2 linked regions of the Lepisosteus oculatus genome follow. The protein of the gene in region 1 interacts with the protein of each later gene in a biochemical or structural test. Links are inferred from orthologs where the notes say so. Each region holds a gene or a part of one and is shown in the gene's direction. Other genes may lie near its edges.

Region 1 (8,390 bases):
TCTGCAGTTCTGTTTTTTACCACAGGGAGTCAGCATTGTCAGTTGATTGATGAGGTATGTTCACTTTACATCCACTGAAGGTAATGTACTGGGAGTCTTTTCCACAGGGCTGTGGTGGGGGGAATTATGACGTGATCATTTTCATGTTTTTGTTTAAAACAAAAAATACAGAATATAACAGTACTGAAGTAATAAATTCACACTTAAATTATACTGTTTTATAATTTCTAAAACACCTTCAAAGGCCTGGTGCTTCCTGTGGTCTCAAAATACTACCTTGATGCATAGAATGTGAAAGCTGACTAAATGAAGACCCCACCAGTCAAATGTTTGATGTTCAGGTAGTTACAAAACACCATACTTATGAACAAAAATTCAAATGAAATCTTTTCTGATTTGTATTTTGTGCCCCACCCAGGTGGTTTGACCTTTGCATATTATTTGAAAAAAAAAGTATAAAAAATTAAGGTGAAGTTAAGGTGAAGCAAAATTAGGGACAGTAAATGGGTTGTTGTTTCTTAAAACATGTCATTGAAAATATGGGATGCTTTTCAAACAGCTCTATCGTGAGAAGTGTACAGCATGGAGCAGTAAAATCTGGAGCTCATACAAAGAGGAACACAAGGAACTCCTTCCCACATGTGCACACATTACACAGCAGAGGATAAAGCAGCACAGCCCAGAGGCCAACAGCTCCAGTCTACAGCAAGAGTCTCAAATCCTGATCTTCCATCAGGTACTGTTGGTACTGTAACCATCAAATCATTTATCTAGAAAGACGTGGAAAAATTGTGATGGTATGGTAAAAAGAATGGGTTTAAAGATGTAGTGCAAAACTGAATTAAGGGACTAGAGTTCCTTTAATTGAATAAATTACTAACTTAACTGATTGGTAATTTACAAGTATTCCCGCTCTTTAGAAATATGTAACTTAGGGAGACCAGTAATACAGGATGTAATACTAGATTAAGGCTTTCCAGAGCATGGGTTGGACATCCCTATTCAAGAGTATAAAATCATCAATATGCCTAAAGTAGCTTCTTCCGGAAGGAACACATTCTCTCTGGTCCTATTTGTACTTCGTTTATCAAATTATACTGGCACAGGTCTCTCAATACCATTATCTGTAACAGCTTCTTCCTGCAGGCTGTCAGGCTCCTCAACACCCTGGAATCTACTTGCCCCCGGCCCAATTCCAGAAACAGGGTTAAGATCCCCCCAGTGTGGTGTGTATATTGGATTATATATTGCCTTGTATTTTGCACTATCTGCACTTTGCACTATGTGTATCCTGTCTACAATGTCTATGTCAGTGTCCTGTCTGTCCTGCCTGTATTTTCACTGTGGACCAGGTGGAACGGTATTTCATTCCACTGTATACTTGTATATGGCTGGAATGACAAATAAACTTGAACTTGAAATTAAGAAGGTGAACTACATTAAGAAGCATCCTTTAGAAACTAATATTTGTGTCTTTCTTTTACACTGTGTGATATATTGTTTGTATTGGACACAATGAAAACACATCGAGGCTATACAGTACCTTTTATATGTCTTTCCATAGTGGAAGAGGAGGTGGAGTCTTTCCTTGTTGGATTTTAGGATCTTTTTAAAAATGTTTTGGAACCTCACATTCAACTGAAGAAAGAGATAGGGGGCAACAGAAATATTTTATGTTGTTCTGTACAAGAGGTGGGAGGACTCTCAGGTATGGTTTTGAGTCACTGGGAGGGTGTTCCCAGCCAGTAGTAGGTGTTGTGAATATACTATGAAGTCACACTGTACAGTAGCTGCCAGCCAATTCGGATCCATAGCATATTGACTATATTCTCAAATATATAACTATATATAATATATAAACTGGATGGTTCATTCCTCTTTATCCTGTGCATGCTAGTAAAAGCATATAAAATTCAATCAGTCAATTCAGTTTTCATCATCAGACCTGGAACTACAGTATAATGACATGTAATATTTTTTTGGATAACTGAAAAACCTTTTTTGTCAGGATCCTGTCAGGGCAGGGAGGTTAACTACTGTAGATGTTTTTTTGCTGAATACCATGGCAAGTGTATGAGATGCAAAACTGACAAAGGCAACTGGAGTTCATGCACGGGTCACTGCAATTCCAGGATGTGTTACTTCAGCATTTTGCCTGTCAGAACCAGAAGCACAATTCCTGTTCTTAAATTTGCTGATTCGCAGCCTGCAGCACACTCAATCCACTATATACTCTAGTTGCATCAAACCTGAATATCTTCTATAGAAAATCAGCACTGGGTGTGCCCCGATGACTTCTGTGGAAACTGGCAGTGTTACTATGGAGTAGATTTCTAATTGAGCACATCCATTACATCCAAACTATTGAGAATTATTTCAATTTATAATTCTCTATTTATAGAACTTTACTTAACTCAAATACATAATGTGCTGCATCGTCTGTAGTAGTGCCACTACAAGGTACAATTGAAATTATCAATGTAAAGAGAATAGATTGCTATGTCAAGAACACCATGTGCAGGTCTCATGATATTTTGATGATATTTTGAGGGGGTAACCTAGGTCTGAAAAATGACTTCTCATAGCTACTTTTAAAAACTTGCAGAAATCTAGAAAATAATATGCAATGAAGGAATTTTCTAGTCTACTTTGTACAAAACACTGTTGTTACGTAGGAGGCCTTTACAATATAAAAATTCAGCCCATTGAATGTTGTTATTTATGACCTGTTTCAGAAAGGGCAGAGCAGAAATGCATAAAATGGTCAAGAGAGAATTCATTTTTTATTTTATTATTCAAGCATGTGTTTGAGGAAGAGATTAGAAATCATATACCTAAGTCTCAAGGACAAATAAAGCAAACAACATGGACGCCGTGACTTCAGATTTTAAAGATTTTGCATAAAGTACCATCATTCTTTACATGTCTGTTTTTATGCATACTTTTTAAATTAGCTGTGAAGCAGTTCAATTGTTAAAAATTACCTGGCTCAATTGATAATTACACAATAATGTCTCATAAATATTTATGCTGGATTTGTGGATGTTCTTAATATTGTATTTATACCATTATTTATACCATTACAGTTAGGATATAAAAAAGTGCTCAATGCTTCCAACATTAAAGTTGGACTTCCAACTTTAAATACATTAAAGTTGGAAGCATTGAGCACTTTTTTATATCCTAACTGTAATGGTATAAATACAATATTAAGAACATCCACAAATCCAGCATAAATATTTATGAGACATTATTGTGTAATTATCAATTGAGCCAGGTAATTTTTAACAATTGAACTGCTTCACAGCTAATTTAAAAAGTATGCATAAAAACAGACATGTAAAGAATGATGGTACTTTATGCAAAATCTTTAAAATCTGAAGTCACGGCGTCCATGTTGTTTGCTTTATTTGTCCTTGAGACTTAGGTAAAGCGCCCAAACATGGGATATGGAATGTTGGTAGCCAAATAATACTGGTTTGATCTGGTAAGAGTGATTTGAAATTGGTTTTGGATTAATGATAATAATTATTCCTTACACTTATGTAGTGCTTTTCTGGATACTTCGCTCAATGAGCTTTACAGGTAATGGGGCTCCCCTCTACCACCATCAATGTGTAGCCCCCACCTGGATAATGTGACGGCAGGCATGGTGCACCAGTACACTCACCTCATGTCAGCTTTCAGTGGGGAGGAGAGCAGAGTGATGAAGGCAATTCATAGATGGGGATTATTAGGAGGCCATGACTGTTAAAACCCCTGGGATTTTTAATGACCATGGAGACTTAGGACCTCGGTTTTATATCTCACCCAAGGCGTAGCCTTTTGGACAGTGTTGTGTTCTCATACTTGGGGTATTAGGGTACTATAGGGGGTAGCAGGTCTCCCAGGTAATGGCCAGGCTCCCACCTGCTTAGCTTCAATGGGTTGCTAGTTGTGAGTTGCAGGGTGATATAGCTGCTGGGTAAATTAAAAATAAATTAAAAATATTAAAAAACAGTCTAGGCTTTGCAAAGTGATATAAAGTTATAGAAGAAGTATAAAAGGAAATGTAAATTTCTCTTCTAAAGGAATTTTGAAGAGTGGGTAACGTTTTTAGAAAGCTAAGAACTGGGTAACTGCAATAATGCAATGCAATAATAATGGGAGCAAATTACTCTGACAGTTTCCACCTGAAGTATACAGCTCAGAAACTAAAAAAAAAACGCACTCCATCTCTAGTGTTACTCAACTGTGCGAGTGGGCACTTTCGAGCAGAAACAAGTTTTCAGTTGTTAAAAACGTTACGGAAATAACATTTGTGTTCGAAGCAGTACCAATACCACAGCAGATGTTAACCCATGAAAACAAATTACTAAAGTCATAAAAGGTTTTCTTTAAAAATCTTGTGCTGCCGTGGATCTCCATCGAGGGCAGTAAGATTCCGATAAACCCCTATGCGAGCTCGAAATCCCTCCAGGTATTAAGTTATGTCTGTGATGAAGAATTGTGTTGCCGACATTATAACTGTAAGTTACAATTACATATTCTAATGTCTCAAATACTTCTTTCTCGCATTGATTGGTACTGTAGTACTAAGCAGTTTATACAGACTTTACACGTTCTTTGTGGGGATCTGATATTACTCAACTCCCTTCGGTTAAATTCCATGGGTTGCGCTGATTGGAAAATGCACACCTCAACAATAGAAGTGCAACAAAGTGCACTTCCTTTGCAGGAAGATAACAATTATCTTACCGTGTGGCTATCTGAAACTTGAATTACTCTATTATTTTGACAGTCGCCATTGGCTCATAAAAGCTCTCTTTGTGGTAAAGTTACTTGAACGGCGGACAATGATTGGTGCTGTTGGCTGTCATCTGTGGAAACGTCATGCTGCCTTATAAACTGCGCGGAGTTAATTTGAGTAACCAGATTGGAGGCTTTCGGCTGTGACGGAGAGTGCAACCCTTTTCGTGAGAAAGAGTTCAGACTGTCGTGAAGTTTTTAGGAGACTTGTGTGCACTTTAAAAAGGGAATTGCAGCTGGCGGTGACAGGGACAAGTCACATCGAGACGTCTGACGATTTTAAAAGCGAAATCTATCCATTTGCATTTCCTTAACTGCAAGTTTGGAAGTTACACCGCACTTTTTGAGTAACTGTGCAAACGTGTTGTTCCGTGCACGTTTCTGGCGTTGGTGGCGACCTATTTAAATAAGACTTTTTTGGAGTACCTGACAACATTACACTCAACAGTTTTTTTTATCAGAATAACAAGGATGTCCAGCCATAGCGAATCTCTTCGACCCAGGTTGTGTTCGCTGGAGAAAGGGGGGAATGGTTATGGTTTTCACCTCCACGGGGAAAAGGGGAAGACCGGTCAGTTCATTCGGCTGGTGGAGCCGGACTCCCCAGCTGAAGCGTCGGGGCTCCGCGCCGGCGACAGGCTGGCGTTTGTCAACGGGGAAAGCGTAGAGAGCGAGAGTCACCAACAAGTGGTGTCCAGGATAAGAGCAACAACCGGGGATCTGAAACTGATCGTGGTGGACCGGGAGACCGACGACCTGCTGAAAAAATACAACCTGAAGTGCCAGCCGGAGTATGTCACGTCGGGCATCCCTATACCGAGCGAGTCAGAGGAGGAGGTCGGGGAGAACGGCAGCCGACGGGGCTCTTCTCCGACCCCGGAGAAAAATGGAGATATCACTGGCGAGAAAAAGCCGAGTGTCAGCTCCGAGAAGGTAAGATGGATTCAATTTAAACGTGTTCCCAACGGTTGTTTCGAGATCTGATTTAAAATCCCCCTTTCGTCAAATGCAAGCATAGAAAACCTGTTTACCGCACTTTTCTCTCGTTGTATCTCTTTTTTGTTCAGCTAGTCTCGCGTTTGTTTTTTGTGTTGCTGTTAAGAGTCCAACTCTTACAATTAGATTTTGAGAAACTGCCAGCTACCTGCACTTCGGGGGAAAAAGTTTTTAAGATTACTAGTATGATTGAATGGAGTATGCTAGGTAATGCTCTTTAGGTAAGTACTTCTGTGATTTACAATGTGGTAGCTCGCATCATACACTAATAAACAAGCCCCCTTTATTTTTGTATGGAACGAAACCAGTTTGTGTAGTTCCAAAACAACAAAAAAAAAACAAATGAGTGTTTTATCAGTCTGGTTTCTGAAAAGTTAGTGAAAACAGGCTGTTTCTCTAGCTGAATTCCAGTATTTGGCATTCGGTTCAGGCAGCTTAACACTCGCCTCCAACAGTATGTTTGTGGGCAGCGTAGGAACAGCACAGGCTTTGTCCGCCTCTATTGTCGCACAGGTGCGGGAGGTTCAGAGCTCCAGGTAGCAGAGCGCCGCGGGCTCGGGTGGAAGGAGTGTTCCGTCAAACTGCGTGGGAATTTTTTTCCCCGGTTTCCCAATCTTTGAACGCAGAGCTAAAGCTTAAAGGAACATTTGTTACCACCCAAACGTGCGACAGTTTATTCACATCTCGCGATTTATCAGCTGAAGTAATGCTTTCGGACCGCAGAAATGTTTCTTCCGTTTCCTGGCTGACCTAGGTAAAGTAAACGAAAATACTATAATGTAAATCTAAGTTACTTTTAAGGAGACAGCTTGGACCCACACTGGAAAGGTTAATAGGTCTGTTTAGAGCAGAGGCTGGGAAACACGTGGTTGTTAAAGTTCAGAGCAGATACTCAGAAATTTGACCCATCTCATGGACATTATGCTTTCCTTGTCAGGAGCTTTTGCCTGCTTTTCTGAAATATTGATGTTTCTTGTTCATGCATACTGTGAGTGATCTGTCTCGTGGTGATTGGCACTCCTCCAACGTAACATTTATGGGGGTAGTGTTTGTCAAATCAATGCTATGTTATCCCATGGAAAGAAACATTCACCTATCTATCTGTATCAATTCAGCATCATGGGGGAGTTAATCCTGTCCCAGAAAGCAAAGGGTACAGGGTTTGATGCATCTTGCATGGGACAACAGACACACTCACACCAGGGCCAGTTTTCCCAGAAGTCAATTAACCTACTAGTATGTCTTTGGACTGTGGGAGGAAACCAGAGCACTGAGAGGAAACCCACATGAACATGGGGAGAACTCAGGGCTCCACATTCGCAAGGCAGCAGTACTAACCAATGTGCTGCTAAAAAAAACATTGAAGTTGTGTATACTTTTTGTAATCATTTTATCAGTGACGTGTGCTGACTAGCTACTCTGAAAGATCGTCTGTATCTCCCATTAGATATGTGACGTAAGAACTTTGAAGATACAGGTTAAAGGCTGTTCCAATCTTTTAGTGCTTTGTGGGTAGCCATTATTATATTATGGATAATCAGTCTGCTCAACCACATGAAAACTAGTTGTGATGTAAAAATCTGCAGCCTCCTTTAAATTGAATTTACAGTAGATTTCTTCACGATAGGACAGTTAAACAATGCTTCTTGAGCTCGTAGTTCTTATTTAAGACTTTCCAAAAAAAAATCAGAAGATATTGTGTGGAAATTAAATACTGGATATTAAGAACTGCTGAAAATGTGCTTTTCTGCATCTTGCAACAGAGCTTGTAAAATTTTCAGTCCAAACTGTAAGAGGTGACTTGGTTTTATTCAGCATCTTGGTGTAACAAGTTCTGGGTTTGTTTCACTGAGAGTCTGTGAAATAACTTTAAAAAAGTGTTTAAAACAGTTTTTTTCCCACCTTTTGTAAGGTTGAGTCCTGTGAAACTCAAATGTTCTTAAATTTTATTTTTGATTTTACAGTGTCCTTAAAGCAATTAAATGTACAGTAGTTGTCTTAGCTATGGCACTGCCCAAACCATGCTGGTGTCACCAACATTTTTGGCCCCTTTTCTTTAATTTGGAGCTGTACAGGATTCCCCTGAAGAGAAACAGCCACCTTCTCGTCTTCACGTGACGCAAACGAGTGCTTCACTTTTCAGCTTTCTGGGATAGGAGAATTCAAATGACCTCGACAAACCCTGGCTGCTGTTTTGATACAGTATGTGCCACCCTGAGCCAGTCCCTGAACCTCCTTGTGCTCTGTCCTTCAGATGAGACCTGAAAACTGAGGTGCTAAAAGTGGCTCTGGAGCAGCAGGTGTTAAAATATTACTCAGCCCTTCAGCCTCCGTAAGTCACGCTGGGCAAATGGTGTCTGTTAAATGAGTAATTATTAAGTGCTTGGGTATGCAATTACTGCCAAAGCACATTTCTAGAACATTCGTTAGTAACTGAAGAAATTAGAGAACTTTTCAGAGACTCGAGCGGAGGAGTGTTTTGTCCGGCAGAATCCCTGAAAGCTCCCTTGTCCTTGTGCTTATGGTAAAGTAGATCCAAGCCCACAAATTATACAGGTTAAATATTTTACACTTGTGGTGGTGTAACACTGCCATGCTTTCTGTTT
Region 2 (8,486 bases), on another chromosome or scaffold:
TTTAGAAGCAGGTTCCATTAATATAGTTAAAATTTCATACTACAGCTTTTCAGCAATAGTGCTAACAGAAAATGATTTAACATCTCACTTCATAGTTTGTAGGATCACTCATCATTTCCACCTATATTGGTTGTCTTTAGAACCACTTGTTAAAATCATATGCCATTCTGGTAGTTATAGCACTATTTCTCATAACAAAACTAAATACTGTAACAACCTAAATAACGAATATAATGTTATTATATTCATAGAATGTCTCTTTTTGATGGCTTTGGTTATTTTGGTATAAAATGTCTTAGTCCAATTTAGCATTACTGACTTTAAATTTTACAATGGAGAAAATGGACTTCCTATTGTACCGCTTTTCAATCACTTCAAATGCCTTGGTACTGAGATTCTACCAGAGATGCTACAAGTGTTTTACTCATACCTGTCACTCATAGTTGTCAGATTCTAGCTTAGAGGTCCTGTGGTTAAGAAGTTGGAGTTTAGTTTTGTCTCCTTAGACACCAAATCCTTCTGATATGCTGAATTCAATATTAACCATGTTCTAAGGGGGTTAGATCAGATCCGGTATCTAGCTCAGTACTATTGAGCCCTGTTACATACTTTAGGAGTGCCATTGATGGCAGGGAGCATGAGATTATTGTGCTGTACTGATAAAAAAACAGTTAACACATAAATGTCTAATAATTTCCAATAATATGTTTACAATAATTTCAAAATTGCAGGAAAGAAAACATGTGCTTTTAATTTAGAGGGCTTTTTTTGTGGAGCTAAACTGTTTTATATTTAGTATATTTACAACTGTATGTACAAATATTGTTATCCCCAACAGGATATAAAAATTATAAAAAATTAAATGGTTTGTTTCACTTAGATACTGTATATTTTTGAAAGTACAATTATAAAACATACATGTTTTTAAGACGAAAGTGTCACAGACTTTCTTAGTTGCCCTAAACATGTTTTAAAAACATTTGGTGATGAAGAATTCTGATAGTTTTTGTCTGGTTCTGGTATAGTGTGTTTTCTTGAAATGGTTCCTGGGAACTTTCAGTTCTTAATGCATGTCTGGAAAAAATATATATTTTATCTCCAATAAATATGACCACACAATTTTTAAACATACCCTTAGCCAGCCAGGACAGTGTTGTCAGAAAGGCCTTGGTTTATTTATTTTAGCAGGAATCCCTTCCAATTTAATGTAAAAAGAATAAAAAATAAGATCTCAAAACAAGATTGTTCTTCTTATTTGATCTGTCTGTTTTCCTCAATACTTCCTTTTGACATCACTCTACATATAGTATATTTATAAACATGTCATATGGTTTTTAACATGAAGCAACTTTAAGAGTTCTGTGGTTAGACTGGTTAGGACTCTTGATTTAAGTCCTGAAATTCATTGAGTCTTTTGCTTTGTTTTGTTGTTGCGGACGCACTGAACTATGGTGAATCCTTGGCACATTAACAATGCCTTCACTTGCTCACCAGACCAGCAGTGAACATACATATACTGTAACTATCGCAATATCCTAGCTTTTCCCCTTTAATACATGTTTTTTTTTTTCTGCTTGGAGTGCAGTGAATGTACAGGCAAAAGTTATTAAGTATATTTTATAAAATGTGACGTCTTCTCAACCAGATGAGCAAAATAGTTCTTGAAGTCCCTTGCTGCTTAAAATAATTTTAGTTTGAGCAAATTTAAAAATAAAATGAAGCACACTATAATACATGTTGCTGCTTATGTAACTTTACATAGACAATGACAGTATCTGAGTTAATAAGGTATCCTAGGGGAAAAAAATCATTGGGAAACTTCAGCAGAACTGATTCATAGTTGATATATGCTAAATAGGGTTTGTCCAATGATTGACAAGTTAGTGTGCAGAACTGAGAATTGAGAGATGTCGACTGCTTTTCAATTAAAAGCCTTTCAGTCATTATTGCAATTCCAATTAGTTTCCACTGGTGTCCTCAGTTCCTTGTTTTACTACTGGTCTAGAGGCACTCCACTGTTATATTTTTATACTTTTTTAAGCTGTTTAATGAATTTAAATTATAAATAGCTATGTGACAGAAGACTAGTCCCAGAGTGTGAAAATAAAATATACACTACATTGGAAGAAGATATTTTAAACTTCTTCTAAAGAAGTTTTCATACTTGTTTATACTGTAAAACAAAGCTAACGAGTTTAATAGATTCTAAAGAGATTCAACTCCTTTAACCTGTTCCTTGAATACCAGGAATTAAACTCACTCATCTTCTGTGAATGATTCCAAAGCACCAATGTCCTTTTTGAAATGTGGAAACCAAATAGCAAATACAATGAAAATACAATGAAAAAGATAATATGGCAAGGGCAAAAGGATACGTTTTAAAGTTGTTTAAAATGATAATTAAGGTGAGTCGCTTGCATTCATCATGTATTTGCCAAACATTAATATTAATTAATATTCATATAAATCCTCATAGTAGTAGGCCAATGAATAATATTAACTGTACATAATGTGTAAATGGAAAGCCATATATTTAGGATAAAGTTTCTATTGGAAATAACGAGGGAAACAGCTGAAGGTAATTGCCTATCTCTATTAACTTTTCTTTTTCCAATGAACTGTGACACACAAAATACTTGTAGACTCCCATCCTGCATTGGCTGAAGCACCTGAAGTATATAAAAACATGAATCATTTTGCACGGGGTAGTGTTTTGAGAGCATGAATGGCTCCACTGTTTTGATTTCCAGGTATTTGTGGCCAGTTATTGAACTGAGCCATTACATTTTCACTCACTGGAAACGTCAGTGTGGCTGAAAAAGAAATAAATCACATGATAGTGCATTATTCACTTGAGGACATGCAAGAAATTGTATTAATTACTCTTCTTTGTGCTCAGAAGACATTATGACTTAATTATATTTTTATCTACATACAATATTTGCATAGAAATTTAATCTTTTTCTAGGGAAACTAGATCCAATATCGGTATAGTAAATAATATCTTTGTTAAAAAAGAGACAGTAGGTCGGTAAATGTCATACAGTTTCCTAATGTTTTAATGGCTTAACCAGGACATAAGCAGGACATAGTCTGTCTATGACAGCTCTGTTCTAAATTATAATATCCAATATAACCAGATTTGCAGTATGGTGTGTTTGATTATTTTATTGACAAATATGTTTATCTCTAAAGTCAGCAGGGCTGACTTTTAATTTCTTTCAGATTTAGTACTTCATTATTGTGTTTGATCCATAGCTGCCAAGATGAGTATAATCCGATTTTGGAACTCGATAAAAAATTCTGAAAACAAAAACTTAATATGCTCAATAAATCAAAAGACAACCTAACACTATTTTCCTGTTGATTAGTTTGACATTTGGAAGCAGTGTGTTCTGGTTTCTAAGATGCATAACTACCACACTACAAAATAATCCATGACTCTCTGATGAACTCTTGCTGTATACTTTTAAACTCTGTTCTTATTTATGTCTGTCTCACTTAGTTGTGCCTGTTCTTCAGTGTCCTATTCCAAGATAAACCTGCTGAGTACAAGCTGATCACACTTCTCTACATAGTTTCATTTAACTGTAAAAGAAAAAGCAAACTTAACACCTCCCACTGGTAATGTGTTTTTTCATTCTTTTGAGATATGTTTATTTGACAAACGTCTGTGACTTGTTTTAAAGATATAATGCTCAATGGCAAAAAATCACATAAAATATTAGTATGCAGAAGCACCTATATACTCCTGATTTGTTTGTTTTCCTTTAATATCCATTTTCCTTTAATTTCCTGGGTCAATTAAAATTTCCAGCTTTTTTTACATTGTTTATTTCTGTTTATTAACTTGTATTTGTTTAAAGAAGGACTCCAAAAAAGTTTAGATGTATGCATGCATTTGTAAACTACATAGTGATTTTTAAGTTGGGGCATTACTGTGCATCCACCCTGAACAATAGAAAAAAATGGTTTTACATGTGTAATGTGAATCTCTATGGTTTTCCTGAATTTTAAACAAAAATCATTTTATAATCATATGTCTGTTAGGTCCACATTCCATTTTCGCTCTTTCTATAAAAAGGACAGATAGTGGCAATTGCTTAATTTCCTGTTTCTTATTCAAATAAGGCAGTCAACAGCCTTAAAAAAAAGGCTATATTTATCTTTTAGTGCTATGTCAGAGATGGTATTATGTTATGGTCACAGAACTATTTATTGAAATTCTGAACTATTTCTAACTTGTAAAATTAAGATGCTAATCAGAAAAAATTAAAAGAAAGTTAACTTTATCAGATGGAAGATGGAATCTTTTCAAAATGAGACCTTGGTTCGAAAAAGAGTTTTATAATAGAATGTTTGTATAGTTTTAAAATTTAGCACTTTTCTGCTTAAGAGAAAGTGATCAGTCTGCTGATGGCAGCCTTTCCTAGGACAGTTTTCTATTTAATGGTCACAGCACAGAGCAGGCTTGCCCTAAGCCTAGATTGCTGTAGAAATGTAGCAGGTCATTTGAATACATCAGATGTGAGCACAGGCAAGTCTAAATCTTATGTCACGTTATATAGGTATCATGTAGTTCTGTTGAAATGTGTAATGTCCTATTTTGATTTGGGGCATCAGAATGAAAACTTATGGTTTTGAAAATGCTGTCATCAATTATGTATTAGTGGATGCTTGTAATTTGAATAGAAAAAAACTGCTCTGAGTTTGTCCTCTGTGTTTAAGAGATTTCCAAAAGCATATGACCGATATTTATACATGTATATATTCAGTCTGAGACAAGATAGCATGCTATAATTTTTTGTTACCCCACACTAGACCAGTGATTGATTATTTTGTGCCTGATTCAGGAAAAAAAAGGTTTAACTGCAAATACAGAAGCAGTCATCTGTTCTGGTATTACAGCTGTTTACAGAGTTCTTAAAAGAAGCAGATTGCCGCCTTTATCAGTTTTCGCTATCATGAAGGAAATATACGGTAGCTGTGGATGTAATTTGATCAATCTAAATTAAAGTTTTCTAAATTGCTATGTAAAGATTTGTAATGGACACGTTCACCCAGTCAGTCTTCAAACAAGCACTGCACTGTCCTCTTCAATCTAATAAATGTGCGTGCAGCAGCTTTCTAATTAGTTCCACAAGGCACTTCACACTATAACAATTACAGGAGTGAGTATGCAGAGTCCCCCCCTCAAGTCCCCCAACACACACCCCTTCAAAAAAGTCCTCTTTAATAAAAAGAAAGCCCTTAGTCAGCTGCTGGCGTGGGTTATGAATTTTCTAGCCATCCACTCATATCCTGGGAAAGGAAAAATAAGGAAAAAGCCAAGATTGAAAACAGACACAACCACTCTGGTGTTGAGAGTAGAAGAGGGAAGTACCCTTTTACAAGTCCTTTTAAATTCAATAGAACTTTTTTTGTCTATAGAAAACAAGCTTTGCTTTTAAATGTAGCTGTAGTTAGTTTTCTGTTCACGGCACTAAAATGACAATTTGTTCTAACTTCATATAAAAGTCTTCATCAGCCTCTTTTCTTTTTCATTTGGACTTGAATTAGTGAAGCTTGCCAGTATATTGTCTCGTGACTACTTTTTCTTTTTGGTGTTTTGTTTTCGTTATTTCGTAAGGAACAGAACACGTTTATCATATATAGATTTATGTTTCAAAGGTGTCAGCCAACAGAACGTTTTTTTTTTATGAAAGGAGCTGTATTCTCTGAAAATACATGACCTATGTGACTGAAGACCAATAGTTTAATCTTGGCCTCTTCTGATGTTTATTTCAACTTTTAACAGCCTTTTATTCTTCTAAAAGGTGATTTTCAGTGCTGCATCAGTGGCCACCCCTATCCTTTCATTTGAATAAATAAACAGAGTTCTGGTGCCTGTTTCAAGGGCTCAAGGGGCTAACCAGATTACAGCAATCATCTCTGAAGATTTGAGGAATCTACCCCAGTTCTACAAAAGGAAGCTAATTGAAAACTGCTACTCACACTTTCAAGGCAGTCGGACAGCAGTTCAGATCCCTAAGAGAAATCACCGTTGGACAATGCTTTAAGTTTTTTTAAAAGTCTTTCTGATACTAGAGTGACGTGTATCCAAGGTAAGTCTTTCCCCCTTTTAATATATTTTTTATGTGCTTTTTGTTCACTTAAAGCTGTCTTCAAATATACCTGGAGTATATTTGGTAGAAAGTCTCCAGTGTTTAATATTGTTTGAGATCATTTAAAAGGAGAAAGTTTGTAGATCTGCTGGATTTTATCAAAGTCTGCATTAACAAACGTTGACTTAGTTACATTACACAGAAGTCTATTGCCCAAGTTTCTGAACTTGAAGATCTATTGGCTGTTTACAGTGAGATATACAGTACCATATTGGAGTTTTATCCTAATATATATACATACCATATACCCAGAAGCTGAAATACAGTAAACCAGAACTACAGTGCTTTTGGCATCTAATATTGTTTATAATACTTTGCATAAACTCAACCTATAAAAAATATGAAGTGATGTGTGTGCATGTTTCAGATTAGACTTGTAAACAGCCATGTTATTTCCTTTGATGTGGGACCTAATTGGTTCACTTTAAAAAAAAAATTAAGCAACAGCTTGTATAGTGTATGTAGAAAAGAACTTCCACATATAAGAAATGAATACTTGAAGGCATGTCAGAAAAAAATACCCACTAATTAACAGAACACAGCAAATTCTAAAATTAAAAACAACAAAACCAATTTATCTTGGAATATCAAAAACAAATTATCATGGAATGTCAGTATTTCTCCATGGAAATCTTTGGAATTTGGCTAGTTATGCTGCAGGGAAAATATATTTTCCCCTTGAGTTTTCCACATTTAATACTGAGTGCTTTAATAAGAATGCTAAAAATCCTTTCTGCTTCAGAAGTACTTTATTAGGCTAAAGTGGTGCTTGACTTTAGGGGATCTGTATATGCTTATCTGTTTTCTCTTCAGACTTTGAGTTTCCTGAACTGTTTACTTTCACACAATTAGGCCATGTTTGACAGCCTGTCCTGTTGGCTGTGAAATCTTTTGTCATTGAGCAGTACTCTTGGATTGCCTTTGTACATGAAATGTCAACTTTTATGTCAGTGTCTTAAAAGAGAGCTAACCTCATTTTCTGTATAATCTAATATTTCCAGTGAGGTGTTCTCTACAGAAAGGCACAAAAATAAACGTAAACAACAGCTTAGTTAAACTGTTGATAATAGCAAATACAATAAGATAGACTTCAAGAACGTGCATCCTGTAAAGACAACCACTGGCACAGTTTGCTTCACGTAAGAAAACCTTTGGTAGGTATACAGCTTAGGCAAAGGAAAATGTTCACCCTTCTGTGGCAGACATCTGGTACACAGTATTTTGTTTGCATTTTTGTTTTCCTAGAGGTCATGGGAAAGCATGAAAAGCATTTTTTTTACTATGCTTGAGTTAAAGAAATGTTAGGTTTAGATTTTTGGACAGTCAACTGCTAATAACTTATCATGCTGACACTTCACTGAGGTGAATTTATGTCATTGTTCTGTTTTTTTTAAAAAAGCAAGACTGAGGTTTACTTACAGCTAGCATGTGGGTGTAGTATGAGTTGCTGCAACTGTTTGTACAATCTGTGAGCTCCTTTTCAAGCTTATATAATGTTCTTCCTGGATTTTTAATGAGGTTCTAGCTAGTCTACAACTAAAACTAATGATGGTGCTGATAATGGCCAAAAAAAACTTTCATTTATATTTTCCACCAATTGCAGAAATGGTCACTAATTAGAATCAGGTGCTGGAGTGTTATCTACAGAGGAAGGGGGACTTATATAAAGATTACTTTTCTTTTGGTTAAGTATATTTTAATATAGTAGGTAAATGAAAAGTGTTTATAATTGCCAGTGTAATTATACAGTATTTTATATTTGTCTTTAGAATGTTTTCAATTCTTACATCTGAGACAAGTCTGCTTATACAGATCTACACATGTATAAATGAAAAGGTTATTAAACTCTTTGTACATTTTTCCAAGATTGAATCTATTGGTTAATTATATACTAATTATTAGGATTTGGGTAATCAGACTTTTTGTATAAATCATCTTTTTCAATCATGGTGTTCAACTGAAAATGTAAAAGAAAATCCAGTGAATGTGTGTGAAATACATCTTTCTACTAAAACAAATTTACACTGCAGAGGAACTGTGAATTCTCTGAATATTATAAAAAAGCAGAAAACGCCCGAATAAGGCTCCACAGCCGAAAGATTGTGTTTCCTTTCTTCTCTTTTCAGCATGGAATAAACCTATTACTCGTTCCTTCAAAACCGCCAGAGGTTTGTACAAGCTTCTATAAGTCACTTTGATTGCTACTGGATATTAACTAGGTATTGTCAATCTTAATGGCTCTAGTGGCAATTGTTTTAAATTCATAAGCCTCCCCATTTTCAGCTGAGGTGTTCTTCAACAATAAATTCATTGCTAACTGGC

The links. The genes of interacting proteins can lie anywhere in the genome.
Region 2: the proteins of Na(+)/H(+) exchange regulatory cofactor NHE-RF1 (region 1) and pdgfrb form a complex in vitro, tested with the Homo sapiens proteins (2 studies listed by BioGRID and IntAct, with this or other methods). The link is inferred for Lepisosteus oculatus from reciprocal best matches to the Homo sapiens genes NHERF1 and PDGFRB.

What each region holds. Positions count from the first base shown.
Region 1 is NC_090704.1:34,889,871-34,898,260, forward strand, and holds the start of Na(+)/H(+) exchange regulatory cofactor NHE-RF1, read left to right. Parts: upstream 1-4,898; 5' UTR 4,899-5,259; coding exon 5,260-5,721; intron 5,722-8,390. UniProt on the Homo sapiens protein: Scaffold protein that connects plasma membrane proteins with members of the ezrin/moesin/radixin family and thereby helps to link them to the actin cytoskeleton and to regulate their surface expression. Necessary for recycling of internalized ADRB2.
Region 2 is NC_090706.1:32,305,691-32,314,176, reverse strand, and holds the start of pdgfrb (platelet-derived growth factor receptor beta), read left to right. Parts: upstream 1-5,279; 5' UTR 5,280-6,104; intron 6,105-8,295; exon of another isoform or gene 8,296-8,332; intron 8,333-8,486. UniProt on the Homo sapiens protein: Tyrosine-protein kinase that acts as a cell-surface receptor for homodimeric PDGFB and PDGFD and for heterodimers formed by PDGFA and PDGFB, and plays an essential role in the regulation of embryonic development, cell proliferation, survival, differentiation, chemotaxis and migration.